Linked DNA regions of Sus scrofa. The protein of the gene in region 1 binds, or shares a complex with, the protein of each later gene. Links are inferred from orthologs where the notes say so. Each region holds a gene or a part of one and is shown on either strand. Other genes may lie near its edges. The genes, in order: LSM2, LSM5, SNRNP40, LSM3, LSM7, PRPF3 and PRPF6.

Region 1 (4,444 bases):
GCTTGATGTCCTGGTGTTACTTATCAGTGGGGTCTGTCACTCACAGGGTCCCTTATTACATCCTTTACATGCTGAAAATATTTCTACAACAAACTCCTAACAAATGGGTAGTGAGGTTTTTTGTTTTGTTTTGTTTTGTTTGTTTGTTTGTTTGTTTGTTTTGCTTTTTAGGGCTGCACCTGTGGCATATGAAAATTCCCAGGCTAGGGGTCCAAGCAGAGCTGTAGCTGCCAGCCTAGGCCACAGCCACAGCCACAAGGGATCTGAGCCACCCTCTGCATCCTACACCACAGCTCATGGCAATACCGGATCCCTGACTCAGAGTGAGGCATTGAACCTGCATCCTCATGGATAATAGGTTAATTTACACTGTGCCACAATGGGAACTCCCAGATGGATGCTTTTTTGCAAGATTAGAAACAGAGAATTTAGGAGTTCCCATCGTGGCACAGCAGAAACAAATCCGACTAGGAACCATAAGGTTGTGGGTTCAATCCTTGGCCTCGCTCAGTGGGTTGAGAATCCATTATTGCCATGAGATGAGTTGTAGTGTAGGTCGTAGACGCGGCTAGGATCCTGTGTTGCTGTGGCTCTGTCCTAGGCCGGCAGCTATAGCTCCATTGGACCCCTAGCCGGGGAACCTCCATATGCTGTGGGTGCGGCCCTAAAAAGACCAAAAAAGAAAAAGGAGAAAATGGAGAATTTATTTGGATCTCATTCCTTGAAAAAAAAATTTCACCTTTTGCGTCATCGCATACTGATAATGCTTTGGGGACATGAGTATAGAAATACATGTAACTGTGAATTTGTGTCCCTTTGTGTTTGAGAGGGCAATGTTTGGAAGTGAAATATCAGAATGGGTATTTCTATCCCTGAGTCAGTCGGTTTTGCTTTACTCAGCCCCTTACAGGAAAGCCCTAGGCAAAAGCGTAAAAGAAATGTGGACTGAGGTTGGGTTCTCAGGAGAAATAAGTTTATCGGGAACCTTTGACAAAATCGGATTTGTGTGCAGGTTCCTGATCTTGGGAACTCAAACATTTTTACTTTTATCAAAGTGTAAGAGACATAGAAAAGTGTACAAATCATCATGGGTTTTCACAAACGCCCAGTTTGCAATAGTAAGTGTCTTCAGGGTATGAGCAAATCATGCTGGAACCACACTATTTTTAAAAGGAAGAAAACTTGAAAGCCGGGGGAGCCGTCAGAGCCCGAGCCTGCGCAGTGGGAGCCGGCCGCTTGGGGAGGAAGTCGGAAGGCGGGAAGCCCCGCCCCTTCCCTGGCTTTCGCGTCCCCTCGGTCCTACCCCGCCCGCTCTGCTTGTAGCCGGAGCGCACGGTCCGCTCTCCTCCGTCACCCTGAGCTTTCCGCGGCGCTTCCCGCCGCCCCTGCGCAACCCCGCCCCGCCTCGCGCGCGGCCTTGTGCTCCGGTTCCCGCCCGGCCTCCGGACCGCGGTACCCGGCCCTCGCCTTCCCGGTCAGGCGGGCATCCCGCGGTGCAAGCACAATGGTAGGTACCGTGATGTCACAAGGGGGCGCCCTCGGGGAGCGCGACCGTTGGGATGGTTGGGGACGGAGACGGGGTCGCGGGGCGGCGGCGGGGCGGGGGGGCCCTCCGGGAGCTTTGTTCCTTTGGGCTGACGTTGGGCCCTGGGATTTTTCTCTCCCTCCTTACTTCCTGCAAATCAGGTTCGTTGGGGAGAGACCTCAAAACGAATGGGTCTTATTTGTTTGAGTCGGCGGGAACAGCAGGAGAGGGAAAAGCTAGACCTCAAGGAGCACTTCCCTGACAGACCAGGCCCCGAGAGGGTGCGGGTGTTACACTTGGTACCCTTCACTGGGTAGTGGGGGCAGGACGCCGGGAGAGGTGGTCCACTGAGAGCCGAGCCCGAGGCGTGCGGGCCAGAGCCTCTCTCCCGGGCTTTAGGTCAGGCGCTCGAGGTAGTAATCACCGGGGCTCCAGCCGTTTTTCCGAGTATTCTTTCCTCTTAAGTTTTGAGAACTGCCAGAGAGATGCGGCGGGGATCCCCAGGACCAGTATCTCATAATACTGGCCGGGGAACACGCCTCTGCCCAAGTCCCTTCCCATATGATGTTTTTTCCCCCTCTCGCCCAATAGCTCTTCTATTCCTTTTTCAAGTCCCTTGTGGGCAAGGATGTGGTCGTGGAACTCAAGAATGACCTGAGGTAGGTACCTGTTCCGACAAGTCTGTAGGGGGTGGATGTGCCCAGCCCTCCGGAACAACCTCTTTAATTTGACAAGTATTTGAGGGCTGGGCAAGATGGGAGAGAGACAAACGAAAGAAATGACTTGTGCCTTAAACTGACAGATTAGCTGCAGAGTTTTATCTTTATGGGAAGAAGATCCAAAGAAAAATGTAAGTACTAGAAAGAAGTCAGGGGGCAGAGGCATCAATCACTTTTTTTTAATAAAAGTTTTTTCTGATGAAATCACATGGTCCTTTGACCCAAATTCTAGAAATGTAAGTATTGACTCCAGAAGTAAAGATTTATGTACAAAAATTTTGGTAGTTTTTTTTTTGTTTGTTTGTTTTAATAGTCAAAAATTGGTGGAGGGGAGCCATTAATAGGGAATGGGTTATGGAGTACCCTTGTGGTGCAGCAGGTTGAGGATGTGGCGTTGTCATTGCTGTGGCACGGGTTCCATCCCTGGCCTGGGACTTTTCACATGCCACAGGCACAGCCAAAAAAATAAAATAAAATAGGGAATGGGGAGTTCCCGTCGTGGAGCAGTGGTTAACGAATCTGACTAAGAACCATGAGGTTGCGGGTTTGGTCCTTGCCCTTGCTCAGTGGGTTAACGATCCGGCGTTGCCGTGAGCTGTGGTGTAGGTTGCAGACGTGGCTCGGATCCCGAGTTGCTGTGGCTCTGGTGTAGGCCAGTGGCTACAACTCCAATTGGACCCCTAGCCTGGGAACCTCCATATGCTGCGGGAGCAGCCCAAAGAAATAGCAAAAAAAGACCAAAAAAAAAAAAAAATAGGGAATGGGTTAGATTTTGGTATTTCCATTAAAGGCAGCTGCCACATGGAAATGAGTTGTATTAATATGGAAAGCTGTTGCAGAATCATCTATGTGGTATAATTGCCCTTTTGTTGTAGACAGTATAAAAGATAAACAGATGACCAGTGCAGTCCCTTGTGTCTGTACTGTTTTTACATCCCTCGTCCCCTTGTATCATTAACTTCAAATCATCTTTTAGGACGTGGATTAAATGCTGTATCCTTGCACTTTCCTGGTTCTTCTAGGCCATAGACACTTCTATCATATAGAGTCTTTCCTTTCTAGTGGGTGCTTCTCAAACTGTGATTTCATAGAAATGTATTTACTGTTTAGGGCTGGTCTTCTATAGGGCCAAGATGTGTTTAAGCGCCCACTGTGTACCTGTGTCTAGCACAGCCCTGGTATAGAGTAGGTGCCTAATGTGTTCTGAAGGGGAAAACAAAAGCTAACATTTGAGGCTCTCCTATAGACTAAGCACTACTCTGAATACTCATTTATTAACTCATTTAATTCTCTGAACACCTCTACATGACATATACTGTTGTTGCTGTTTTACATGAGGAAACTGAAGCTTGACTAGGTTAGGAAACTTGGTTAAGTCTATACAACTAGTAAAGGACAAAGCCAGAACTTAAATCCCTTTCTGCCTGCCCCTCATCCTTTTTTGTTGTTGTTGTTTAATTAAGAACAGGGTCATACTCTGTGCAATTGTAAAACTTGCTTTTTCACCTGACACTATGTTGTGGATATCTTCCATCTCAATAAAGTTGATCTTTAACGTTCTTAATGTCTGAAAGGTGCTTTTTTTTTTTTGAAATGGCTGCACCTGTGACAAATGGAAGTTCCCAGGCTAGGGATTCAATCTGAGCTAGATCCTTTAATCTCCTGTACCAAGCTGAAGATCAGACTCACACCTCTGTAAGGACCCTAGCCGATGTAGTCGGATTTTTTTGTGGGTTTTTTTTGTTTTGTTTTGTTTTGTTTTCTTGGTTTAGGGACACATGTGCAGCATATGGAAGTTCCCAGGCTAGGGGTCAAATTGGAGCTGCAGCTGCTGGCCTGCACCACAGCCGAAGCAACAACAGAGCTGAGCCTTGTCTGTGACCTACACCACAGCTCATGGCAATGCTGGATACTTAACCCACTGAGCAAGGCCTGGGATAGAACCTGTGTCCTCACGGATACTAGTCAGGTTTGTTACCACCGAGCCACAGCTGGGAACTCCCTGCAGTCAGATTCTTAATCCACTGAACTATGGCAGGAACTACTGAATAGCATTTTTATTAGCTGGGTAGAACTAATTAACCAAGACCTTGTTGTTGGATTCTTAGGCTATTTCCAATTCTTTGCTTTTTTTAGGGCCACACCCTCAGAGGTTCCCAGGCTAGGGGGTCCAATCAGAGCTACAGCTGTTGGCCTACAC
Region 2 (4,568 bases), on another chromosome or scaffold:
GAAGAAAGTGAATACAAAAAGTCTGAAAGACACCTAAATACAAGATTAAGAGCAATGCATTTTAAAAAGTAGTAGAAAATAAAACATATTTTAAATCCCTCCTATCACAGAAAAGTTCTTTCTTTTTTCTTTTTTTTTTTTTAAGGGCCGAACCCACGCATATAGAAGTTCCCAGGCTAGGGGTTGAATTGGAGCTGTAGCTGTGGCCTACCTACAGCCACAGCCGCACTGTATCAGAGCCACCTGTGCGACCCACACCAGCGCTCAGAGCAAGGCCAGGTCCTTAATCCACTTATCAAGGCCAGGGATTGAACCCTTGTCCTCAAGGATACTAATCCAGTTCCTTACCTTTGAGCCACGAGGGGAACCCCCAGAAAAGTATTTCTTTAAAGCTAGCTATGGGTTTGCAAACTTTTTTTCCTTTGGTCTTTTTAGGGCCGCACTCTGCAGTCTATGGAGGTTCCCAGGCTAGGGGATCAAATCGTAGCTGTAGCTTCTGGCCTAGGCCACAGCAAAGCAGATCCCAGCCACGTCTGAGACCTACAATTGCAGTTCATGACAACCCCGGATCCTTAGCCCATTGTGTGGGGCCAGGGATCCAATCCCCTGTCCCCAGGTACTGGTTGGGTTCCTTACCACTGAGCCACAATGGAAACTCCTACACTGAACCTTTAAAAGAAGGTAGGGGAGTTCCTGTGGTGGCTCAGTGGTTAAGGAATCCGACTAGGAACCATGAGGTTGCCTGTTCGATCCCTGGCCTCGCTCAGTAGGTTAAGGATCCGGCGTTGTGCCTGAGTTGTGGTGTAGGTCGCAAACGTGGCTTGGATCTGGCAGTTGCTGTGGTTCTGGCGTAGTCTGACAGCAACAGCTCCGATTAGACCCCTAGCCTGGGAACCTCCATATGCTGCAGGTGCAGCCCTAGAAAAGAAAAGAAAAGAAAAAAAAAAAAAAAAAAAAGGTAGGGAGTTCTCCTTTGTGGCTTAGAGGATTAAGAATCCAACTAGTATACCTGAGCGTGTGTTGGATTCCTGGGGTCGTTCAGTGGATTAAGGATCCCCTTGTTGCTGCGAGCTGCGGCTCAAACCCACATTGCTGTGGCTGTGGCTAGGCCGGCAGCTGCAGCTCGATTTGACTCCTAGCTTGGGAACTTCCATGTATCTGCTCTGTGGCCTTAAAAAGAAAAAAAAAAAAAAAAAAAAAAAAAAAAGCGGTAGATTCCTGTAAAAAAAAAAAGTTTTTGCTTTTGTTTTTTAACAAAAATTGCAACACAATAAAATCAGTGGCGGAAAAAATATTTATGTTGGTCTTCAGAAGATCCTTGGTTGAAATGAAATATAACCCAGGGAAAATCAAACGACTCAAACGTTTCTATTTTGCAGTCTTCCAGGTTGAGGAATATTTTATTTATAAGGCAAGATATCTTTAATTTGTCTTGGAAACTTGGAGGGCAAAGTATCTGCTGAGGCCGCAGAATGTTCAACGCACTGATGTATTCCCCCGGATCTCGTTGCGGAGGAAAGAAGTGACTCCGAGCGATTCACGTAGGACTGGCCCGATCGCACGCTCGGCCTCAGATTGGTCGAGCCTGGCCGGGCTAGGGGAAAAAAGCGGAAGCGCGCTCTTTCAAACTCGCCTTCCCAACGTCGGTAGAGGCTGGCCACTTCCGGCGTAGCCATGGCGGCTAACGCTACGACTAACCCGTCGCAGCTGCTACCTCTAGGTAATCGTTGTCCTGTGGGGAGCTGGGGAGGGGAGCTGAAGGGTTGCGGGCCGAGGGCCAGCGCAGTCCTTGACTGAGTGTTAGAGAAATGTATCTGACCAATTGTTTTCTTTATCCGCGGCTCTTTGGGCTCTAAGGCTCTGAGGCCTCAGGCCGCCCGCGTCTTTTCGGCGTGGAAGGGTTTTCTTGAGCCAGGACTTTCTGAGTTCTCACACCAAACCGTCACTGGAAAAGGTTCACACTTAGTGAATGCGTCGTCGGCCTTTTTTGTTGTGAGTTCGCCTTTACAGTAGTGGATAGCAGTCCCATTCTTCTACCTGGCATTTAAAATCCCTAGGTTAGACCCTGTTGTCTGTCTGGCCCGTTATTGAGAGAGGTAGCGGGGTCTGCAATGAGCTTTAAAAGGGGACACTGGAAATTAGCTCTGATTGTCATTCATTTATTCCACAAACAGTTTTTGCGCATCTGTAGACTAGACATCGTAACTTAGCTTCAGGTAGCATTCATGCCAGCGCAGGAGACAGGATGCCAGACAATTAAACATCATACCAAGTAACAGTAATTCTGCTGAAGAGATATTCAAGCTGCTCTCAGAGAACAGAGGATAGCCGTCTTGGGGCTGGGGAAGACAGTTATGTCTTTTTCTAATATTTTGTATCTGAAGGGTAATTAAGTTAGTGGACGTGGCGGTAATTGGAAAGTTTTTTCCTTCATTGAACAAAAAAAAGTTTCTTTTTAGGCCCGCACCCGAGGCACATGGAGGTTCCCAGGCTAGGGGTCCCATTGGAACTGTAGCTGCTGGCCTTCGTTTCTGCTGCGCCACAACGGGAACTCCCGAGACCTGAAGTTTTTGAGTGAATCCTTTTCTTGGTTTATCTTTCACCATATGTAAGTAATAAGTGCCAGTAAGTACTCACATATTTCTTGAAGTAATGAATGTGCAAAATAATTTTTTTCACCCCTCCCCCCACTTATTTTTCTTTTAAAAAACCTGTATCTATAGAGCTTGTAGACAAGTGTATAGGATCAAGAATTCACATTGTGATGAAGAGTGATAAAGAGATTGTTGGCACGCTTCTCGGATTTGATGACTTTGTCAGTATCCTTTTAAAAAGTGGGGGTATGGGTTTTTCTTTGTTTTTTAATTAAAAAAATTTTTTTTTGTTATTATTTTTTATGTCTTTTCTAGGGCTGCTCCCATGGCATATGGAGGTTCCCAGGCTAGGGGTCGAATCGGAGCTGTAGCCACCGGCCTACACCAGAGTCACAGCAAAGCGGGATCCGAGCTGCATCTGAAACCTACACCACAGCTCACGGCAACGCCGGATCCTTAACCCACTGAGCAAGGCCAGGGACGGAACCCGCGACCTCATGGTTCCTAGTCGGATTTGTTAACCACTGCGCCACGACGGGAACTCCATCTTCAGTTTTTTTTAAAAAAGTAAGAACTATAGTCAGTGCTTACTGATTATTATAATAAAAATTAATTTATTCTCATGGAATTCGTGGTAGTGTTTTAAGGGGTGTGTGTACCCCTACCAATCGCAAGCAATTTGAATTTGAGTCATTATGTTAAATGTTATTTTTTTATTTTTATTTTTTGTCTTTTTGCCTTTTCTAGGGCCGCTCCCTCGGCATAGGGAGGTACTCAGACTAGGGGTCTGATCGGAGCTGTAAGCTGCTGGCCTACGCCAGAGCCACAGCAATGATGTATCCAAGCCACATCTTCGACCTACACCACAGCTCATGGCAACGCCAGATCCTTAACCCACTGAGCAAGGCCAGGGATTGAACCCGCAACCTCATGGTTCCTAGTTGGATTTGTTAACCACTGAGCCATGATGGGAACTCCCAATGTTATAATTAAAACTGAACAAAGACAGAAGCCAGAGTAAATTTAACATGGTATATATTTTCTTAACACCAAATTTCAGATATGGTACTGGAAGATGTCACTGAATTGTGAGTAGTGTTAAAAATTAAAGAATTGGGCAGGGGGAATCTCTCTTTAAGGCAGTTGTAGCACTGTTGAGTCAGTAAAATGATGTATGAGAAAACACTGCCTGTTTGAATCACTAACATAGAAATTTTATGACTGAGGTTAGTAAAATTGGATTGTAGGATTATTACCTTAATTGTTAGGAAATTAGTGGAAACAAAGCTTTAAGGTAAAAGACACTAAAAGCAGTGAGGGATCTTAGGGCTCAGATCAAAAGTATTTAATACTTTGAATTGAATATAGAAAATGTAAATGATGGCTCAATTATATTAATTATAAAGATTGTGACCAGTAGTAGATCTGCTTTCAGAATTGAATTGATTACAGAATGGTATAATGGATAGGAAGCAGAAGCAAATGAATGGTTAAAAAAAATGAGGATAGTAAACATTTTATTTCATATTTGATCTCCTAGGCAAGTTTTAGCTTTTTAAGTGAAGATCAGCCCTAGTGGATGTGGATCTTAGATGAGCCCGTCAACTCTATTCCCTGTGGGGAAGAATAAACCAATGGATAACTTTTGTCTCATGTTTTCATTTATATATAATAATTAGCCTTTTGGGGGAATCAAAATGTTGGCTTTGACAATCACTGTTTATCCTGACTTTTTGTTTTGTTTTAATTTTTTCTTTATTTTTATCCTGACTTTTTAAAAAATCTGTTTAGTGAAATCACACCAGAAGGAAGAAGAATTACTAAGTTAGATCAAATTTTGCTAAATGGAAATAATATAACAATGGTAAGATACAGTAAAGCTATTTTATTTAGATGTTAAGCCATTTTTATGGGGCAGGGATTACAGAACTAACTTGTCTAAATGCTTGTGGCCCAGTGGTACTTAAAATGGGA
Region 3 (4,686 bases), on another chromosome or scaffold:
AAATAAAAGAAGAGAGGGTACAGGGTAGTCACTATATATAGGCTAGGGGGACTGAAAAATGGGGGTAATGGGGAGTACAAGGAAAAGACAATGGAAACAATGATTGAGTATATTTTTCCTGATTTAGATAATGGCAACTCTTCTCACATAACTTACGTCTCTAATTAGATTCTCTTCTTCTGAAGTTTCCAGGGTCTGTTTGTTATGCTAACTCTCCTCCTCCCTCACTGCGCTCCTACTTTTGATTGCTCAAACATGTTAAACTCATTTCTGCCTCAGGATCTCTTATACTTGTAGCTGAACCCGCAGGAACAAGACAGAAACCCCTTCCCCTAGATCTTCCTGTGTGTGACTCCTCTCAAACATTTCTGCTTCAGAAAGTCCTTCCTGGAACACTCAAACTCAAGCAGCACTCTTCCACCTCCCTTCTACATGCTATCAACCTTAGGGATTCTCTCACAGCACTTCATTTTTCTTTTTTTGCTTTTTAGGGCTGCACCCATAGCATACGGAGGTTCCCAGGCTAGAGGTCTAATGGGAGCTACAGCTGCCGGCCTATGCCAGAACCACAGCAACGCCAGATCCTTAACCCACTGAGTGAGGCCAGGGATCAAACCCGCAACCTCATGATTCCTAGTCGAATTCGTTTCTGCTGCACCACAACGGCAACACCTCTCACAGCACTTCTCTAACTACCTGAAATTACCTTCCTCATTACTTGTTTACAGTGTCTCCCCTACTGTGCCACTAGAAAAGCTCTGTGACCACAGGAACCCTATAGAGTCATTCAACAGTCTTCCCAGTTTCTAGTTCATTTAATGAATGAATGATTGAATTGAGCTTCCCAACAACCTTGCAGGGTACAAGGTTACTAAGGAAAGTAGTCTTGTTTACGGTTTTAGCCACTAAGCCTAGGCTTGGGCAATTCACAGAAACTTGAGCTGATATTCTTACTTGTCAGATGGAAGAACAAATACACTGGCATTCTCTTCATGGCTCAGTGGTTAACAAGCCTGACTAGGAACCATGAGGATATGGGTTCAATCTGTGGCCTAGCTCAGTGGGTTAAGGATCCGGCGTTGCCGTGAGCTGTGGTGTAGGTCGCAGACACAGCTCAGATCCTGAGTTGCTGTGGCTGTGGCGTAGGCCAACAGCTGTAGCTCTGGTTTGACCCCTAGCCTGGGAACTTCCATATGCCATGGGTGCTGTCCTAAAGAAAAAAAACCAAAAGAACAAATACACTATTAATAATTCCTAAATCTCATCAGTAGTTTCCAGCTTATTCATTTACTCAAAAAATACTATGTGTCAGGCACTGTTCTAGACATTGAGAAAACAGTGTTGAACAAAATAAACAATGTAGGTTGTATTCTAGCAGGAGGGAGGGACAGAAAGGAGGGAGGGATGGCAGAAACAAGTATAAGGTATAGATGGTGGTGGTACGTACCATGGAGAAAACCAAACAGCAATGTGTTAGTGAGTACCCAGGTATGCAATTTAAAACAGGTTGGTCAGGAAAACCTTCATGGAAAAAGCGATATTTGAGCAGAGACTTGGAGGAGCTGAGTGTGTAAACCAGGTGGACATTTGGAAAAAGAACACTCCAGTAGTGGGAAAAGAAAATGCAAAGGCTTTGTGTGTGGTAGGAGCATAGAAGCCAATGTGACTGGAGTAAGGTGAGCAATGGAAAATTGGTAGATCAGAGAGGTCAAGGGAAAGAGGGCAAAAGGTTGTTAGGATTTTAGTTTTACTCTGAGTGAAGCGAAAAGCCATGGCATGTTTTCAGCAGAGGTTAACATGATTTGATGTTTAGAAGGATTCCTCCGGCTGCTGGACTGAGAATAGAATGAGCATCTGAGAAAAGAAACAGGAATGCCATCAGGATCCTACAGCAGGAATACTAGGTGAGAGAATAACAGCTTAGATCAGGAGGTAGTGATGGAGATATTTAGAAGTGGTAACAAATCTGGGTTTATTTTAAGGATGGTGCCAGCAAAGATTTGCTGACAGCCTGATTGAGGAGTTTCAGGAGGGGACATATATTCTTCAGCTAAGCCTAATAGAGCAGAAGGAGAGATGTCATCCATCACTACCTCTATCTTATAAGAACTCTAGTTAAAAGCCTGGATTCTGATTTTAAAATCGGTTTCTATCACTTATTAGAGAAGTTTGTTTCCCCATCTACAAAATGGGACAATTAACAATTCCTACCTCTTAGGCAGTGACCAAGATTAATGGAGTTTTCATATACAAAACACTTAGTACATGGCTCAATAAGTGTTACCTATTCTTCAGTTGTTAATACTAGTGCAGAGAAAGAGTTTTCCCCAAAGCAAGTTGCCCCAAGTCCCAAAGCGAGCTAGTATCGTTCATTTCCTTCCTTTCTTTCTTCCTTCATTCATCCATCCACTCTTTCAACTTTCCTGAACGTTTATTCTATGCTGGATCCCTGGAAGATTTAGGATGCGAAAGCCCGGGGCCCAGTTTTAAGATCCCTCACTAATTCTAACGCCCCCTCACAGGGCCATCGAGACGCTGAAACGTCAAACGGGGAAACGTAGCATCGCAGGGTGTTGACCGCTTTAACAGGTTTTTCTGCTCTAACTCCCTGGTGTGAGTCCCGTTCCGCCCCCGCAGTGCAGGGAAAGGGCCGGTACGGGATCTCACGGTGGAGCACTGAGGAGACAGGAAGATGAGCTGAGGGCCGAAGGCCATCTGCTCGTTTACTCACCGCTTGCAGCAAAGCTCCCGGCGCCGCCTGCTGCTGCCCGGCTCCCGGGCCCGACCCCGCCGCTCCCAAAAGCAATTCATGCCGCTGCCGCTTGACTGGGACCAGAGGCAACTCTGGGCCCTTGCGCTTCTGCTGTTCTATCATGGCGGCAACCGCTCTCCTCAGGCCGCCACTGACCGCGCCGACACCCTCAGGGAGCGCACGATTGGCTCCGACTTAGTCTTTCCCTTAGAACTTCCGGCTTGGAGAAACCAATCGGCTTCCAATACTCCCCTCTGCACCGCCCCCTGGGGAGTCTCCAGTTATTGGGCAACTCATTCTGATGTCACTAGAGTACGATTCCAGGATTGGTGGAACGAGCTGGAGTCCCGCCTCGGCGCGCTGGGTCTTGTGGGTGGAAGCGCGCTGACTGGGTTCTGGCGTTTCGCGCAATGCTGCGGCGGGGAGACCTGACGCTAACTCCGAGTAAGTGTTGGGGGTGGGTGGCTGCGGAATCTGGAGGCGGCGCCTCCGTTGTGTGGTCTGAAGCTGGCCTCTCTCAGCCCAGGGTTGATCGCAGAGGGCAGAGGGGGCCCCTGAGTTCCTAGCTCTTGGTGTATGGTGGCCTGGGTTCCCTTTCTAGGTTGGAGCAGAGCAGTGGGGTCTCTGCGCCTGCCTGGGGCCCTCGACGGCTGCTTTCTTTAACAAGCGCCTTCTGTGTCGAGCCCTGTGCCAGGTGCTCCTTGGGAGAAAAGGTCAGTTTCCCAGCCTCCACCAGGGTCGTCTCAGACTTTGGAGGCCGACTTCTTTCTGCCGTGATACTGCAGCCTTTTACCAGCGCCTGCTCTGTGCCCCTGAGAGAGAGAGAGGGAGAGAGAGAGAGAGATGAAGGAAATGTCCGACTCTTGGTCTCCAGAGCACAGTCTTGGCTGAGAAATTCAGACTCATACTTGTGAAGTAGGTTTTCTCCTTAATCGTTCAACTGATATTTATGGTGCAAAGCTTTGAGGAGACATTGTGAACCAAACATGGTCCCTGACCTCAGGGCTTTGAGTCCGATGGGAAAAACAGATGCTCAACAATGATCTTTATAGGGAATGCAAAGTAAGTGCTGCCAGGGAAAGGTACCTGGTGTTTTGAGTGCCAGAAATAAGCCGGAAGACTTGTCTAACAAAAAGATGCCTGAACCTATGCCTGAAGGAAGAATTCTAATTAGTTGGGGGAAGAGAGGAGGGCAGAATATTCCATATAGAACAGCATGTGCAGAGGCCCAATGGCAAATGAGAGGAAAATGACTAAAAGGTACAAAGAGGCCAGTGTTGCCAGGACAAAGAGAATAAAGGGGAGTGTGGTACAAGATGAAGCTGGAGGCAAGTGGAAGCCAGACTGTGTAGGAATTTGTAGCTTTTCTTTAAGACTGATGGGAAATCACTGAGGTTTTATTTTGTATTTTGCAGTGGAGAAGGTGGTGTGATGGAGGAGGCAGCTTGGTCCTTCTGGCTCAGTAGTTTGAATAGATTGGAGGGGAGATAAATGCAAATAGACCGCTGAGGTGAGAGTTGTTAGCAATGAAGACTATAGAGTGTTGGTGGAACTGAGAGGTAGATATTTTCTAGACTCCTTTGCACCTAAGATGAGAATTGAATTGGAAGGGAAAGGAGGAGGGTGAGAGGCATCCTCCTTTGCTGGCAAATACCATAGTAGAGGCAGTGGGTTTCTTAGTCACCAGCTTTTTGGTGTTGTGACTTTCTGCAATGATGGCCATAACTTTTTTTTTTGGTCTCTTTTTTAGGGCCTCACCCAAGGCATATGGAGGTTTCCAGGCTAGGGGTCAAATCAGAGCTATAGCTGCTGGCCTATGCCACAGCAACGTTGGATCCAAGCCAAGTCTGCGATCTACACCACAGCTCACGGCAAGACCAGATCCTTAACCCACTAACTGACTGAGGTCAGGGATGGAACCTACGTCCTCATGG
Region 4 (4,526 bases), on another chromosome or scaffold:
CAGAAATCCCTTCTACAGCATACATGTATTATGCAATGACAAACTATTTATCAAGCATTTGGTATATGCAGGGAAGGGGAAAAGAACAAGATAAGAAAATTAAGATGTTTTTATAACTTTCAATTCTGGTAAGAGAGAGCAAACAGGAAGCAAATAAATTAACAAGGTCATTACAGATGTGACAGAAGCTGTGATAAGGTGCACCTGAAAAGACCATCTTAGGACATTCAAGGAATACCTGGATTGAGACCAGGAGGAAGAGAAGTCAGCTACAGCAAAGCCATGGAAAAATATTCTAGGCAGAGGCTCAGGTGAGGAATCACATGGTGTGTGTGAGGAGGCCAAGAAGGAAGGTACCTGGCAAAGAAGACTAGGAAGAGACAACAGGAGAGGCAGCAGCAGCCAGATCATACAGGGTCTTGTAGGCCAAGGTGAGGAATCTGGAGGCTGTTATGCCAATGGGAAGACACAGAGAGTCTGAAGTGGGAGCATGGCAAAATCAGATTTTTTTTTTTTAAGGTACTTTGCGCTGCAGCACAGAAAACTCCTCCAGGGGGATGAAAAGAAGTAGGGAGACCCGTAGAGAGGCAACTGCAGTCGTTCAACTGAAAAGTGATGGTGGTTTCGACAGGGTATGTGGCCATGGAAACAGAGAAGTGGAGAGATTTGAGATATGGTTTTGAGGTTAAACTGATAGGATTTGCTTTCTGAAGGACTGGATGTGTGTTGGAGGGAAAAGGAGTTTGTTTTAACAAGTGATGAAGGGGTCAAAGACTGATATGGGGTAAAAGTAAGAAAGGGATAGGTTTAAAGGGGAAATCAAGTGTTTTGCTTTGCGCATGACAAATATAAGCAGCCTACTCGATATGCACGTTGTCAGGTGGGATCCAAATCTGGGACTCTCCACACACCACAGCACTCTAAGTCTTGGTCCCTTCGTCTCGTGGCGACACAACATAATAGCAGTACCTTTCACATATTCAGCCCCCTGCTTCCGCCTGCATCCTGGGGGCGAAAAGGAGCAGAAAGAGGCTACGCAGAGGAACTCGCGGTCGGCTGGGCTCTAGCGGAACGTCTCAGGGCGCATCACCTCTGGCCAGGAGAGCAAAGGCGCAGGGCCGCCGGGGAGCACCTGGGCACGTGCACACCCCCAGCCTCCCTAGGCCTCCGGAACACCGCCCCCAGCGCAGGTGGGAGGGAGGATGCCTCGCTCACACCTCCAGGAAGCCGGCCTCCTGCTACCCCCACCCAAACCTCTTCCACCCTCCCTACCAACCCCAACTCAGCCTGGCTCATACCCGCCTCCTTCTCCTCGCGCCGGGCTTTGCCCTCGCCCTTGGCCTTCTGGCCGCGCAGTTTGCGCCCCCGCGGCGCCCTGCCCGCCGAGCGCTTTGGAGCCATCTCTGCCCGGGCAAGACTCGCCTAGAGCGTGACGCACCGCGTCTCCGCGGGACGCAGCTCGCGCGCGGCCCCGCCCCCAGGCGGTGCAGGGCCTGGTCACGCCCCCTCCGGTAGATTCCCGCCTGCGCCCAGGCTGAAGCTCCGCCCCAGCCTCAAAGGGACCAATGCAAGCTGCAGGAAGCAAGAAGCTGTAAAACCAACCTCTTTCTACTTCCAGTGCATAGAGTCCTCACGTTTCCGGAGACTGGGGTGGGCATAGGGAGCAGCTCTCGTGCCCTCGCGAGAGGACGGAAAGGGCGCAGGGTTTGAAACATGGCGGACGACGTGGACCAGGTGAGTATCTTCTGAAGAGTTCGCTCTGGGGCGGCTTCTCCCTGTCCAGGCCAGGGTGTGCCCAGCTTTGTTTACCAGGGTTGTTTTCCCCAAGCTCAGGGTTGCTTTTCCCAAACTCACGAGAAAGTGGCCTGTCACGCCGCCTCTTTCTGGGTCATCACGGCCTTAACCTGCCTCTTGGTTAACCGCGCCCCCTCCGAATTTTGCCTCAGGCCCTGAGACCTTTGTTGTTCAAAACCCTCCTGAAAATTAGTTATTCCTCACTCTTCTCACTTCCTTTCTCTTGAGTCTCACGTTGATTTGTAGAATGAGAACCATTATCCTTGCCTGCCTCACGGAGCTCTCGGGATTCTGATAGAAAGGCTAATAAAACATTTAGTGGGTTATTGTCATTACTGAGCGCAACAATGATTACAGGGTCTACAAACACTAGTGAGTATCACCTTTGTATAGTTAGAAACCTTTCTAAATACCAGGGACATCGGCATTGACTTGGGAGATACCTGCCCAACTTGGGGCTTATATTCGAGGGAGCACAGATAACAAGTAAACATAAATATGCGAAACATATGGAAACTGTGATGTGGTAGGCAGGAGACAGGGAGCTGGTATTTAGAATAACTGATGGTCCTTCAGGCTTTCTCACCTGCTGTCCCGTCTTCTCCAAATGCTCTTCTTCAGATGTTTTTGTGGATTAGGCCGCAGCTTCAGCTGTTTACTGAAATCTCACCTCATATCAAAGAATAGGTCTCTGGCCACCTGCATAAAATGCACTCTCCCAGTCTGCCTTATTTTTCCTCATAGCATGTTCTTTGTTCATATTGAGTATATGGTTCCTTGTTTAATGTCTGTCTCCCCCAGCTAGAATGTGAGTCCCTTGAGAGCAAGAGTCTTGTTTTGTTCACTATTCTGGGTTTAGAACAGTGCTGGAAACACTCAACAAATATTCATTGAGTGAATTAATTGGATGGTCTGGGAGGCCTTTTGAAAAGGCAGTACTTAAAGCTACAGGATAAAAAGGATGGACAGTGGGAGGTAGGTCTCTGTCATGTATATATTCTTACAGTATTATGATTACTTACTTATATGCCTTTCTCCACTAGAATGAACTCCTTGAGGGTAGGGACTGACTCCTGTATCACTGATCTAGTAACTGGCTAGCTGGTCTTTAACAAACATCTGTTGATCTGGAGATGGAAGCAGTTGAGGTCAGGATTTCCTTTCTCTTTTTTGCATCTAGCCCTTTAAGGCTATAGAGACTGTAACATTCAGTCACCTTCCTCCAATGACCCTATGTAATCCCCGAAGCAGCTCTCCTTAAATAATCTTATCAACTCACCCTTCCCTTCAACCATCCCTTCCACATGGACCCCAGTCATCCTAGCCATCTTCATGAAGGGAAGATTGTGGCTTCCTCATTTTGTAAACAAGGAAACAGAATTAGAGATGGTTTTTAAACCCAGTTCATGAATGTCAAAGTCAGGGGTTGAACCCACACTGCCTGACTCCAAAGCCAGTGCTTTCAACCAGTATTTTTCTATACTGCCTGCTAAATATAATCATCTTACTGGCCAGATGGCACCCTAAACTCAGCCTCTCCTGCACTGCACTCATAATCTTTCCTCAAACATTCATCTCCACTTAGTATGTGGTAGTCATTGTGTATGTTCTTCCAATTGCTAAATGATAACATGAAAGAAAGATGAAGACCCTGAGACAGTAACTCCCTATACCCTGAAATGGGGTCAGACAGTTTGGATTTTGAGAGAAGAGAGTGCAGTCATGATTATTTTGTTGTACAGCTCCTTTCTGTGTAGGTATGTTTCAGCCCTCATTTATCCAGCACTTAATATACGCTAGGCACTGTTCTAAGCCTTCATATATGTATTTTAAGCCTCACAACAGTAGTATTAGGTAGGCATTCCTGTTACACACATTTTAAAAATTAGTAGACTGAGGCATAGAGGGGTTAACTAACTTGCTCACAGTCACACAGGGCACTGCTGGTTCAGAAACTTCACTCTCTAGAACTGTATTACTAAGCCTGTTTCTTTTATCAGCAACAAACTACCAACACTGTAGAAGAGCCCCTGGATCTCATCAGACTCAGCCTGGATGAGCGAATCTATGTGAAAATGAGAAATGACAGAGAGCTTCGAGGCAGGTTACATGTGAGTAAATTTATTAAATCACCTTGAAATTAGATTATTTCCTCAATGTTGCTCCCTAACCCCACCCCTTGGAAATGTAAAAACTGTCCACTGTGAAAGAGTGTTTTGAATAGATGAGGAGGTGGAAAGTCACCTGTATTTCTAAACACCAAATGAACTGTACTTTATTCATATGTTTAACACATTTTTCTCTTAATGGAAATATGTCTACTAGAGAACATTTTCATTTCTTTCATTTTTTCCTTTCTGTTTATTTGTAAATAAGATTTATTTGTCCTCCATTCTTATTTAAATGTTCTTTAAATTACTGACATGCATATAAATTTGCGTTTTCTTGTGAAAAATTTTACACAGGAATACGTAGAGTAAAAGGTGAAATCCTATTTCTTCTATTGGGTCTATAGTCTTTCAGATCTTTTCTGTATATTTACACAGAACAGATATACATGAATATGTGTCTATATGTATATATTTACACTGTATACACCCTCTCTAAAAAATGAATGGGATCATGCTATACTTTTGAGTTCTGAATGTCTGAGTTGCAGTACTTGTTGATCGAGCCCACATGTGCCAAACAGCTAGTTCTGGCGAGGCTGCAGTGTTGCTTACTTTCCTTTG
Region 5 (4,768 bases), on another chromosome or scaffold:
ACTCAGGATGAAGTTCAGTCAGCTGAGAATAAAGTCCAAACACCTCATCACGTGGGCCTCCAGCATGCAGCTCTGACCTGTCCAGCCCACTCCCTGGACCCCAGCCTGGGAGGGCCACAGGCTCCATCTGCCCTTTACCCTCGGCCTGGAGCCACTCCCCTGACGTTCCCTCCCTGGCCTCCCTGCCAGTGCACCTGAGCCTCCACTGGGATGACACCATTCTCAGGTGGAACCACTGTACTGAAAATACACCAGTTAGAGCGGAGCCACAGCTTCCCCAAATAAAGCTCTCACGCTTCTGCCTGGCCCTGCTCACATCACCTGCAACACCCTCCATCTGCTCTCCTGACCTAGCAAACTCCTACTCGTCCTTCAGAACACCCTGCAGGCACCGCTGCTCCTGAAAAGCATTCCCAGGCCAATTGCATCCCTCATTCTGTGGTGTTTCCATGACCCTCCCCCTGCTTCTAGCTTTGCACTCCTTTGGAATACCCAGACAGCTCAAGGTCCCTGCCTCGAGTTGCTGAGACAGCTGAGGAAAATGAGTGAACAGGGCTCAGGGAAGTACAGGGGGCTGGCAAAGCAGCTAGGGGGGCGTCCCAGAGAGCCTGAGAGGGAGGGGCAATGAAGCTGAGGCTAAGTGTATGACCAGGCAATTCATACACAACCCTACATACAGAACCCTCCCTGGGCCTGGTTCTTCATGGCGCTCAAGAGGAAGACCAGCTCTCCACTGACAGGAGGCTGCTTGCTCACAGCCCTAAACCCACTCCCTACCATTCTGTGACCCTGGGCGAAAGAGAGAAGTGCAGGGAGCCTTCAATACACTAGAGCTGGAAAGGGGAAGCTTCCTGACAGCCAGATCACAGGGGCTTCACGAATGCACCAGGAAGCTGCCAGAAGGCTCTCCTCTGGGCACAAGACATGACACACTTTGAGAAAGATCGCTCCTGCAGTGTTGAGAATGAACCGGGGGTGCAGAGAACAAAAGTGGCCACAGAGGAAAGCCATCTGCCTGGAGCAGAGGTGGAGGGGCTGGAGCAGGCTAATGACCCAGTTTTGGGAGCTGTTGGGGGCCACCACTGCCTAAGCTGTGGAACCTGAGAGAGGGGGAGGATTTGGTAATAAAAGATGCACTTATGACAATGTATATCAGCCACCTCGTGGTAGTTCCCCCCACTAGCACCTGGAGACCCTTAACGTTAAATGACAGAGAAGTAGCATGCTGCGCGTTCATGATCCCATATATCATCTCGCTGACTCTATACTGTACACTTATCTTCCTTTTGCAGACAAGGAACTGATACTCAAAGCGGGGAACTCCCTTGCCAAGGTCATGCGAGCAAAAGATGCGGCGGCGATTCGACCCCACTTCGGGGCTGGGCTCCCGGCTGCGTCCCAACACCGCCAGACCCTGGGTGCCGCGCTGGACAGTTTACCACAACCACGGTCGAGGCAGATAGCGTCGCACTCAAGGAGAAACTGAGGCTCGGAGAGGGGTAGCTCCCAGACCAAAGTCACGAAGCTAGAGGGGCGTCTCTGGCGGCGGTTGGAGACCCCGGGGTGGACAAGCGGGGCTCGGGGCAGGAGAGGGGGAACCCCCCCTTAAGACTCCGGCGGGGCCTGGTGACGCTGCGGCTGGGAAGGGCTTCCAGGCAGGGAAGGCAGACGCGCCGGGGACAGTCCGGCAAGGTCACTGCCGGCCCCGAGCCCGCGGGCCGACCGCGTAGGGGGCACGGACACCCTAGGTTGACCCCCAGGCCAGGCCGAGCGGACCCCTATGCGGGGTCGGGGGGCCAAGGAGTAATGGCACCGCGGATGGCGAGGCCGCCAGGGTCGGCGCCGCCCTCACCTGGGCTGCGAGGAGAACGAAGGCCGCCGCGAGCCGAGCCAGCGATGCCACCGCCGCCATGTCGCCCGGTCCCCGCCGCAGGCGTCGGCAGATGTTTCCCAGCAACGCCTTGGCGCCCCGCGCTGCGCAGGCGCCAGGCGTCCGCCGCGCATGTGCAGGGGGCAGAGGCCAAAGGGCGCGGCGCGGCGGCGGCGGCAAGATGGCGGTGAGCGTGCGGCGCGGCTGGCTTGGCTGGAGGGGCTGGCGGGGCAGAATCTGGCCGCGCTTCCCCCCTCACGCAATGTGCTTTCCTCGCAGGACAAAGAGAAGAAAAAGAAGGAAAGCATCTTGGACCTGTCCAAGTACATCGACAAGACTATTCGGGTGAAGTTCCAGGGAGGCCGCGAAGGTGAGGCCCCGCCCCCTGCCTCCCCCCCCCACTCTCCCCCTCTTAAGGTCCACACGGGGTAACGGGCAGCGGTACTGATGACGAATACCTGGGCGGCGCTTTAATCGTTTAGTTCGGAGAACTCGTGCCGGCTTGCAAAAGGCGCCGGGAGGTAGGAACGATTACGGCCCTGTTGCAGGTGGGGAAACTGAGGCACGGGAAAAGGCCCCAAACTAACCCAAAACCCAGTGGCTGGGATTCACTGCTCTGCCTGCTGTGGTTCTTTCTCACCCAGGTGGCTGCCCCAGCTCCTCACCGTGCTCCTGCACCAGGGTTTCTCAGGCTCGGCACTGCTGACATTGGGGCAGCAGTGTTCTCTGTGGAGGTTTGTCCTGGGCGTTGTAGAGTGTGAAACAGCATCTCTGATTCCCACCCACTTGATGCCAGGAGCCCCCCATTCGTGACGACCACAGACCTCCCAGACATGGCCCACTGTCCCTTGGGGGACAGAACTGACCCGGTTGAGAACCATGGCCCTATGGTCAATTTTTATGAAGCCACCAGAGGGATCTGTTATAAAGAAATCCCATCTCCTTGTTCACGGTTGTTCCAGGGTAAAGGAGGAACCTTTTGCTCCAGAGTAATGCTGGGAGTTCTCAACCGCCACAGGGCTGTAAAGATACTTGTTTTCTCTGTCTTGAGCACCTTTACCAGGTTAACTGGCTACCAAGTTAACTTGGTCATTTCCCCACTGGCAGCTCAATACCATTGCTCTGGGAAGCTTTCCCTGACTCCCCAGCCCAGGTCAGGCCTCTTTGTTATGAGCTTCTACTAGTACCTGTCACACAGTTTGCAGCTTTCTGCTGTTATTGTGAGGCTTTAACTCTGCGTCTCCTACTGGAATCTGGTAAGGAGACTGCAGGGTCATGCGGGCAGTGCCGTCCATGGCAGAGCCCTCTTGTCCACTCAGCTGCTGTGGAACTTTGGGCAAGGCACTATCTTTTCTGAGCCTCAGTCTCTTCCTTTGTCAGAGGCTATTATTGACTCCGCCCACCTCAGCAGTGGGGATTAAAGAGTTCAAGGCAGGTAAAGTGTTAACAGGGTTCCCGATGGAGGTTCCCAGGCTAGGTGTCTAATCGGAGCTGTAGCCGCCGCTTATGCCAGAACCACAGCAACTCGGGATCCGAGCCGTGTCTGCGACCTACACCACAGCTCACGGCAACACCAGATCCTTAACCCACTGAGCAAGGCCAGGGATCAAACCTGCAACCTCATGGTTCCTAGTCAGATTTGCTAACCACTCAGCCACGATAGGAAGTCCCTGACAGATAATTCAAGGTCAACATTTCACTTATTCAGCTTCCTCTGATCTTCAGTTTCTTAAACAGTGCTCCAGATCCCTCCTTCCCTGAGCTGTGGACAGTTGAGTAGCATCAGAATGGCTAAAAGCACAGTCAGTGCCTGCCAGTCGAGGTACCTGGCACAGTGAGGATTTGAACATGCTAGTACCATCCTAGCTCTGAAACATAGGAGATAGGTCTCGTCTCGGGGTGCTTATGTTTGCAACGCTGCGGAGCAAACGGCCACCAGTTAGCTGCTTAAACAACACACGTTTTTATCTCAACAGTGTGCGTGGTTTCTATACTCTGGGTGCCTCAGGTCGCTGACAAGGTGGCCATAAAAGAGTGTCTCTGGGAGCTTGTCATCTGAGACCCAGTTCCTCCTGCCTGCCCACTGGTTGTTGGACTCAGGTCCCCGTATTCTGGCTAAAGTGGGCCAGAGACCCTTTTGGCTCTTGGAGGCTGCCTGCTGCCCTTGCCATGGGCTCTGTCCATCGCCTAGCAGTTTGCTTCTTCAAAGCCAGCAGGAAAATCTCTTTTGTCCAGAAAGTGCCCATTCCTTTAGTAGCTCACCTTTCAGGTTGGGCCTACCCAGCATAGCCTCCCTTTAGGTTCACTGAAAGTCAGCCGACTCTTGAACCTTAATTACAGCTGCGAAGCCTTCTGTCTCTGTCACATGACCACAGAGTGATGTCCCATCGTTGCTCCTGTTCCACACTGAGGGGAGGGGGTTCCCAGGCGTGTTCTCGGGGTGAGGGAATGCCGGTTCTGTCTCAGAATCCTGCCCGCCTGCCACAGTGCACCCGTCCCCTTGAGGGGGGCAGACCCACAGGTGTGGGCTCCCGGCCCCCAGGCCAAGTGCCCGAATGCATTGTCCACTCTCCATAACCCCATGAAGTAGGTTCTATCACAGTCTTTGTTCCGTAGGGGAGGGTCAAGCAGGAAAAGGACGCAATGACAGGGCTTCAAACTCAGGTGGGGCCGACAGACATTTTCTATAGAAGACCGGACATGGAATATTTTCAGCTCTGCAGGCCAGACTGTCTCTTTTGAAACCACTCAACTGCCATTGCAGCAGGAAAGCAGCCACAGGCGACATTTAGCAAATGAACATGGCTGTGAGCCAGTTAAACTGTTTACAAAACAGGCACAAGGTTTCGCTGACTGTTCTGGTGGGGGTGGTTTGGGGTCAGCTGACACTGCTCCCCT
Region 6 (4,007 bases), on another chromosome or scaffold:
TTCTCTGGTGGCCTAGTGGTTAAGGATTTGGTGTTTTCATGCTGTGTCTCAGGTCTGTTGGATCCATAGCCTAGGAACTTCCACATGCCTTGGGCATGGCCAAAAAAAAAAAAAAAAATGGAGAGTTCACATTGTGACTCAGCAGGTTACAAATCCAGCTAGCATCCATGGGATGTGGGTTTGATCCCTGGCCTCACTCAGTGGGTTAAGGATCTGGAATTGCCGCATACTGCAGTGTAGGTCACAACGTGCGGCTCAGATCTGGCATTGCTGTGACCGTGGTGTAGGCCGGCAGCTGCAGCTCTGATGCAGCCCCTAGCTTGGGAACTTCCGTATTTCCTGAGTGCAGCCACAAAAAAAAAATGGGATTCTACTACTTCCCTGTTTTCTTTGACTCCAATTTATCTTCTTCTTCTTTTTTTTTTTTTTTTTTATCTTTAGGCCCAACTGGAGAAGCTACAGGCAGAGATCTCACAGGCAGCTCGAAAAACAGGCATTCATACTTCGACTAGGCTGGCCCTCATTGCTCCTAAAAAGGAGTTGAAGGAAGGAGATATCCCTGAAATTGAGTGGTGGGACTCTTACATCATCCCCAATGGCTTTGACCTGTGAGTTTGTTAGTTAATACCTTTTAGTAAGGCTAGAGTTTTAATGGGCAGGACAATACTTGTGCTTTAAATTAGATCTAAGGAGAATAGGTAACCACACACAAGCTCATATATTTGTTAAGAGTATGTTGTATGGGTTATTTTTAGGTTTTTTGGGGTTATTGGAGGAGGATTGGTCACAAATAGTCTAAATAACTTGTGGAGGAGTTCTCGTTGTGGTGCAGCAGAAATCTAACTAGCAGCTATGACGTTGTGGGTTTGATCTCTGACCTTGCTCAGCGTTGCTGTGAGCTGTGGTATAGATTGCAGATGTGGCTCAAATACTGTGTTGCTGTGGCTGTGGCATAGGCCGGCAGCTGTAGCTCCAATTGGACCCCTAGCCTGGGAACCTCCATATGCTACAGGTGCGGCCCTAAACAAACAAGCAAACAAATAAATAAATATGCAAATAATTATAAATTTTCTATTTGCTTTTTTTTTTTTTTTTTGGCCACACCCCTGATGTGCAAAAGTTCCTGGGCCAGGAATCCCACGCCACAGCAGTGACCTGAGCCATTGTAGTGACAGTGCTGGATACGTAACCCACTGTGCCACATAGGAACTCCAGAATATTTGTTTTCTTCTCTTTTCTTTTTATGGCCGTACCCACAGCATATGAAAGTTCCCTGGTTAGGGGTCGAATCTGAGCCACAGCCACACAAAATCTGAGCTGCATCTGTGACCTAAACTGCAGCTTGCAGCAACCCACTGAACGAGGCCAGGGATTGAACCTGTATCCATATGGATACTAGTTGAGGTCTTAACCTGCTGAGCCACAACAAGAACTTCAGAATATTTGTTTTCTTTCTTTCTTTTTTTTTTTTTTTTTTTTAACACTGCACCTGCAGCTTATGGAGGTTCCCAGGCTAGGGATTGAATTGGAATGGCAGCTGCCAGCCAACACCACAGCCACAGTGACACTGGATCCGAGCTGCATCTGCCATCTCTACCACAGGTCATGGCAATGCTGGATCTTTAACCCACTGAGTGAGGTCAGATTTGAACCTGCGTTCTCATGGATGCTAGTCTAATTCGTTTTCACGGAGCTATGAGGGGAACTCCAGAATATTTTCTTAATTTCATTCTTGTAGTTCCTGCTGTGGCACAGTTGGTTAAGGATCCAGTGTTGCCAAAGCTATAGCATGGGTGGCATCTGCTCCTTGGGTTTGATCCCTGGCCTGGGAATTTCCAGCAGAAAATGAAATACATTATTTTGCTCCTTTTAATAGGTGTTTATATTTCTTAAAGATCCAGACCTAGAGTAGAGCAAGGATTCTTAGTTGTTGAGGGAGAGAATAATAAATAAAGCATATAAGAAACATTTGGAGAGCTTTTATCATATCTTCTTCATCATTTTGATACATGGCTTTAGGAGACTGTCTCAGCCTTTCCTTACCCTTCCTTGGCCAACCACTGCCCCGGGGAGTTATTGTTACTAATGAGAGTCCATGGTATCCATCAAAGGTGTTGAGGTAGAAAAAAGGTTGAGAATGGTATAAAGAGTGCATCCAAATGGAACCATTTTCTCATCTTGAAAATTATGTGTAATATAATTACATATTATAGATATGCAAATACTTATAAAAGTGCTAGAATTCATTATGGAGAGTGGATTTTTTCATTGTTTCTGAGACTCCCTCTCTTGGAATCATCTCTACCCACATATCCTGTTTTCCCTTCTTCCTCCAATTTTAGTACAGAGGAAAATCCCAAGAGAGAAGATTATTTTGGAATCACAAATCTTGTTGAACATCCAGCCCAGCTTAACCCTCCAGGTAATAGATTACTCAATCAAAGCTCTAGAGAACTATTATACAATAGAAATTTATGTGGTAGTGGACGTGTTCTCTATGTGAGCTGTCTGTACAGTAGCCGCTATCCACATATGACTATTAAGACTTAAAAACTGGAGTTCCCCTTGTGGCTTAGCAGTAACGAACCTGACTAGTATACATGGGGACTCAGGTTTGATCCCTGGCCTCACTCAGTGGGTTAAGGATCTGGCATTGCTGTGAGGTGTGGTGTAGGTTGCAGATCTGATGTTGCTGTGGCTGTGACCTAGGCCAGCAGCTACACCTCCAATTCAGCCCCTAGCCTGGGAACGTCCATATGGTGTGGCCCTAGCAAGACACACACACACACACACACACACACACACACACACACACACAAAACAAAGAACTTAAAACCTGAGTTGTAATAATATATAACTCAGGGACTGAATTTTTAATTTTATTCAATTTTAATTTTAAATTTAAGTAGAAAATGTGGTTAGTGGCTACAGTATTGGACAGTGCAGCTGTAGAGCACTGAGGCCTAATCTAGAAATGGCTTCACTGATGTATATTACAAATTGGCCTTTTGTTAGTGTTGACTCCCAACTCTAGTCTTAGACACCACCACTAAAGTCCTGGCCTTTTTCAGTCTTTGTCTTCAGCCTTTCTATCATTTTTGTAGCAAAAGTGTATTGACTCAGTTGAAAAAGATGGGTTTTAATCGTGTCTGTGTTTTTTAAGTAGCTGAATCCCTTGTGTAAATCACTTAGAATACAAAATTTCCTCATATGTAGGAATAATATTAAGTTATATTCCTTCTTCAAGCGATCATAAAAGATTTTAACACTTTGATCAGTTTTGGAATAAACAAAGGAAGTTAGTTTTTTACTCAGTTACCAAGTTTACTCAATCAATAAATCTGCTCACCATCACAGGGAATTATATCCAGTCACTGCGATGTGTGACTGGGTCACTTTGCTGTACAGTAGAAATTGGCAAAACACTGTAAATCAACTATAATCACAAAAATAAAAATCAGAAAATAAAAAATTTGCTTACCAGTATCTCCAATAAGTTCAGGAAAATAGATTGAGAGCTTGAAATAATGCAAAGTGTAATTGTTGAGTTGTATTTAATAAGAATCTACTTAACTGTCATTAGTATGAATCATCAAAAGAATGCAGAGGGTTTTATATGTTTTATCAAGTCGAGTAAACCTTCTTTAGGAGTCCAGAAGATTTTTTCCAATTCCAGTAATTCTCAAATTATAAATTTCATCATCTTGGCCAGTGGTTTTCAAGTTGTATTCCATAGACACATTGAGGTTCAATAGGTAGGATCCAAATGAGATTCTGCATATCTTCTACCTAACCCAAATCCTCACACAGGGCAGCCAGAGCAGCTGTAATATTATATTTTCCATTAGCCACGTTTCAGTTGGTTAAAAGGTTAAAAGAAAAACAAGTAGAATACAACTCCTGAAATATAAGAATGCTTTTTAAAGACATATCCAAAATAGCATGGATTATTATTATTATTATAAAAAAAAACCCAAACCAAAAGTCCTTTTAATGTGATTGATATT
Region 7 (2,900 bases), on another chromosome or scaffold:
CTTTTGGTTGTTTTTGACCACCCCAAAGCGCTTCTTAAAAATAAACAGGAGTTACCATTGTGGCTCAGCGGGTTAGGGACCCTACGTAGTCTCACTGAGGATGCAGGTTTGATCCCTGGCCTTGCTCAGTGGGTTAAGGATACGGCCGGCTGCAAGCTGTGGTATAAGTCACAGATGCGGCTTGGATCCAGTGTTGCCATGGCTGTGGTGTAGGCCAGCAGCTGCAGCTCCGAATTGACCCCTACCTAGCCTGGGAACTTTCATACGACACAGATGTGGCCTTAAAACGAAACACACACACACACACACACACACACACACACACACACACGAGTTCCCTGAGAGCTCAGCAGGTTAAGGATCCTGAGCTGTCACTGCTGTGGTGCAGGATCAATCCCTGGCCTGGGAACTTCTGCATGCCGCAGGCACAGCCAAAAAACAAAAAAACCCAAAAAACCCCCACCACTCACACGGAGCAAGAACCTCAGACTCCTTTAAATTGTTTTCCTTTGAGCCAAGTACCAGGAGAGAAAGCCAACCCCACAAAACATCAGACCACGGCCCTGACTGGGGGAGTGAAGTGCAGTCTCCTCCAGCCCCTCGGTTCTCACCTCCTGGGACATTTCGCCTCAGGAGGCAGCTCCAGCAGGAGCCCAAAGCCAAAACAGAGAACCTGGGCCACAAGCAGACACGCCTGAAAACCAGACCCGGAGAGGAGCCCTGGGGTCCAAAGCCAGACCGGGAACCCAGGGAGCTGTCCCCACAGGCCAGCGAGGGCGGGAAGGCAGAGGGGGGGCTGCCCGCCTCCACCCAGCTCCCCCGCCAGAAGCACCAGCGCAAACCCTTCAGGCAGCTGTTTCAGGCTGGGCTCAGCTTCGAAAGGAATCACTCCAGGCTCTGATAGCCTGATTGTTTTTTAAGCCTTGCGGTATTCTTAATTGCTTGGTGTTAGATAAACTGTGATTTAAAGAGCACAAACCCAGATAGCAGCACACAGCACCAGCCTGGGAACAGCGGGAAGGAACCTGTTTACTTTACAAAGCCTTTTATGAGGTTTTATGGCAGCCCTATCGGAGTGTCACGCACAAGTCACCGTGGGAGCCCTGGGAGGGCCCAAGCTGGGCCTCTGGGGCCTGCAGGAAGCCCCAGGCGCAGTGCCTCCCCTGCAGCGGGGCGGAGGAGCCGGGCAGAACCTGAGCAGGGGGGCCCAGGCTGCCCGGGATCCCGTCAGGCAGGGACAGCACCTGGGAGCTCCCCGGCCCACACCCCCTCACGCGGGGGGGCGGGGGGGAGAGCCTCGATGACGACGATGATGCTTCCAGCCCTTCCACCCCGCCACCTCCCAGCCCTGACCACACCCACCCTCTGCCCTGCACTCAGGTTCTGCTCCTCTCAGGCCCCTGTCCTTCGAGAAGGGAACAGAGACCCTGTGAGGTTAGGAGGGTCTCAGGCCCTGCACACACTGGCCTCAAGCTCACCCAGTCCTTTCAAGGCCCCGAGCTCCCTCTTTCCACACGTCTCGTCTCGACGGGGCCTCTGACCCAGCACCCCACAGAGCCGCCTCCCCTGGCCCTGGAGGCCAGGTCCCCTGAGGACAGGTGGCTCCGGCAGAGTCGCCTCCACACCCCCGGGGACATGGGCTGGGCCTGGCCACAGGCCCTGGATTGTTCCTGGGCTGCAGGGGTCAAAGGGCCTGCCTTCTCACCCTAACCCGATGAAAGCAATGTTCTTGCTTACAGCCCTTTGGACCAAGGGAGGCTTGCTTATAACTTCAGTTCTCTGAGGACCAGCGTCAGCAGGCCTGTGCCTGTCCTGCAACCCACGGGACCCACAGGAACAAACTGAAAAGTGGCAGAGACGGCAAGAGCAGACCCACGAGAAGGAACGAGGAGAAGGAAGGCAGGTCAGGGATGAGCAGGCAACCCAGGCCCATGCGGCCTCTGACTGGGGACGTGCTCCATGGTGGAGCTGCGGGGGCCAAGGACCAGGGGAGCCCACCCTCTCCCAGGGACCAGGAGGCCCCGGCAAGGTGCTCAGAAGCACCACAGGGACCCTACTCACTTGGCCACAGCCAGGAGCACGTGGGGGTCGTGCTCACACTTCTTCAGGGCATCCACACTCTTGGTCTTCCTCTGGGGTCTCGCTTCCAGGAAGATGGCTTCGGACCAGAGGACCCCTAAAATCCATAATGCAGACAACCCACCCTGCTTTCAGAAACATGCCCATCCACACACAGGCTGCCCGAGGTCAGCCTTTGAACGTTCTAAGCCCAGTGTCCACAGCTACGCCTCCTGCACATTTGGGGAGAACAGCAGGGGCCAGCGGCACCGCCCACCCCCCACAGCCAGCAGCCCAGGTGGCACAGACAGGACAACTTTCTGGGGGCAGGGGGGCCGGAAGTCCAAACACCTCTAAGGTTTCATTCCCACTGACTCTGTGACTTCGCAGCTAAGAATTCACGGTCACAAAACCATCGGAAGCGCTACCACAGACCCGCGCAGGGCCACAACCCAGGGGTGGCTATCAGACTACAAACAGACCCCCCCTCCCGGGAGGGGGACGGGGGGGGGGGTCACACACCCAGACAGCTCAGTGAAGCCACTAAGGAACGTACATTCTTGAAGATTCAGTAACAGTGAAAAACTCTCACAGATTTAAAAAAGGAACAAGGAGTTCCCGTCGTGGCGCAGTGGTTAACGAATCCGACTAGGAACGATGAGGTTGCGGGTTCGATCCCTGGCCTTGCTCAGTGGGTTAAGGAGCCGGTGTTGCCGTGAGCTGTGGTGTAGGTCACAGATGCGGCTCAGATCTGGCGTTGCTGTGGCTGTGGCGTAGGCCGGTGGCTACAGCTCTGATTCGATCCCTAGCCTGGGAAACTCCACATGCCACGGGAGTGGCCC

What was found.
Region 2: LSM2 (region 1) and LSM5 share a complex: the UniProt entries of both Homo sapiens proteins name them as parts of the precatalytic spliceosome. The link is inferred for Sus scrofa from reciprocal best matches to the Homo sapiens genes LSM2 and LSM5.
Region 3: LSM2 (region 1) and SNRNP40 share a complex: the UniProt entries of both Homo sapiens proteins name them as parts of the U4/U6-U5 tri-snRNP complex. The link is inferred for Sus scrofa from reciprocal best matches to the Homo sapiens genes LSM2 and SNRNP40.
Region 4: LSM2 (region 1) and LSM3 share a complex: the UniProt entries of both Homo sapiens proteins name them as parts of the precatalytic spliceosome. The link is inferred for Sus scrofa from reciprocal best matches to the Homo sapiens genes LSM2 and LSM3.
Region 5: LSM2 (region 1) and LSM7 share a complex: the UniProt entries of both Homo sapiens proteins name them as parts of the precatalytic spliceosome. The link is inferred for Sus scrofa from reciprocal best matches to the Homo sapiens genes LSM2 and LSM7.
Region 6: LSM2 (region 1) and PRPF3 share a complex: the UniProt entries of both Homo sapiens proteins name them as parts of the precatalytic spliceosome. The link is inferred for Sus scrofa from reciprocal best matches to the Homo sapiens genes LSM2 and PRPF3.
Region 7: LSM2 (region 1) and PRPF6 share a complex: the UniProt entries of both Homo sapiens proteins name them as parts of the U4/U6-U5 tri-snRNP complex. The link is inferred for Sus scrofa from reciprocal best matches to the Homo sapiens genes LSM2 and PRPF6.

Annotation. Positions count from the first base shown.
Region 1 is NC_010449.5:23,905,358-23,909,801, reverse strand, and holds the start of LSM2 (U6 snRNA-associated Sm-like protein LSm2), read left to right. Parts: upstream 1-1,278; 5' UTR 1,279-1,504; coding exon 1,505-1,507; intron 1,508-2,116; coding exon 2,117-2,184; intron 2,185-4,444. UniProt on the Homo sapiens protein: Plays a role in pre-mRNA splicing as component of the U4/U6-U5 tri-snRNP complex that is involved in spliceosome assembly, and as component of the precatalytic spliceosome (spliceosome B complex).
Region 2 is NC_010460.4:40,750,809-40,755,376, forward strand, and holds the start of LSM5 (U6 snRNA-associated Sm-like protein LSm5), read left to right. Parts: upstream 1-1,581; 5' UTR 1,582-1,674; coding exon 1,675-1,720; intron 1,721-1,731; exon of another isoform or gene 1,732-2,608; intron 2,609-2,723; coding exon 2,724-2,819; intron 2,820-3,654; coding exon 3,655-3,682; intron 3,683-4,385; coding exon 4,386-4,458; intron 4,459-4,568. UniProt on the Homo sapiens protein: Plays a role in pre-mRNA splicing as component of the U4/U6-U5 tri-snRNP complex that is involved in spliceosome assembly, and as component of the precatalytic spliceosome (spliceosome B complex).
Region 3 is NC_010448.4:87,876,666-87,881,351, forward strand, and holds the start of SNRNP40 (U5 small nuclear ribonucleoprotein 40 kDa protein), read right to left. Parts: upstream 2,959-4,686; 5' UTR 2,876-2,958; coding exon 2,732-2,875; intron 1-2,731. UniProt on the Homo sapiens protein: Required for pre-mRNA splicing as component of the activated spliceosome. Component of the U5 small nuclear ribonucleoprotein (snRNP) complex and the U4/U6-U5 tri-snRNP complex, building blocks of the spliceosome.
Region 4 is NC_010455.5:70,345,811-70,350,336, reverse strand, and holds the start of LSM3 (U6 snRNA-associated Sm-like protein LSm3), read left to right. Parts: upstream 1-1,656; 5' UTR 1,657-1,713; coding exon 1,714-1,734; intron 1,735-3,794; coding exon 3,795-3,905; intron 3,906-4,526. Other genes in the region: XPC (DNA repair protein complementing XP-C cells), read right to left, coding at 862-1,005, 1,299-1,401. UniProt on the Homo sapiens protein: Plays a role in pre-mRNA splicing as component of the U4/U6-U5 tri-snRNP complex that is involved in spliceosome assembly, and as component of the precatalytic spliceosome (spliceosome B complex).
Region 5 is NC_010444.4:76,245,115-76,249,882, forward strand, and holds the start of LSM7 (U6 snRNA-associated Sm-like protein LSm7), read left to right. Parts: upstream 1-1,910; coding exon 1,911-2,057; intron 2,058-2,149; coding exon 2,150-2,240; intron 2,241-4,768. Other genes in the region: SPPL2B (signal peptide peptidase-like 2B), read right to left, coding at 1,853-1,912. UniProt on the Homo sapiens protein: Plays a role in pre-mRNA splicing as component of the U4/U6-U5 tri-snRNP complex that is involved in spliceosome assembly, and as component of the precatalytic spliceosome (spliceosome B complex).
Region 6 is NC_010446.5:98,754,501-98,758,507, reverse strand, and holds part of PRPF3 (U4/U6 small nuclear ribonucleoprotein Prp3), read left to right. Parts: intron 1-441; coding exon 442-608; intron 609-2,342; coding exon 2,343-2,422; intron 2,423-4,007. UniProt on the Homo sapiens protein: Plays a role in pre-mRNA splicing as component of the U4/U6-U5 tri-snRNP complex that is involved in spliceosome assembly, and as component of the precatalytic spliceosome (spliceosome B complex).
Region 7 is NC_010459.5:62,853,357-62,856,256, reverse strand, and holds part of PRPF6 (pre-mRNA-processing factor 6), read right to left. Parts: intron 2,177-2,900; coding exon 2,062-2,176; intron 1-2,061. UniProt on the Homo sapiens protein: Involved in pre-mRNA splicing as component of the U4/U6-U5 tri-snRNP complex, one of the building blocks of the spliceosome.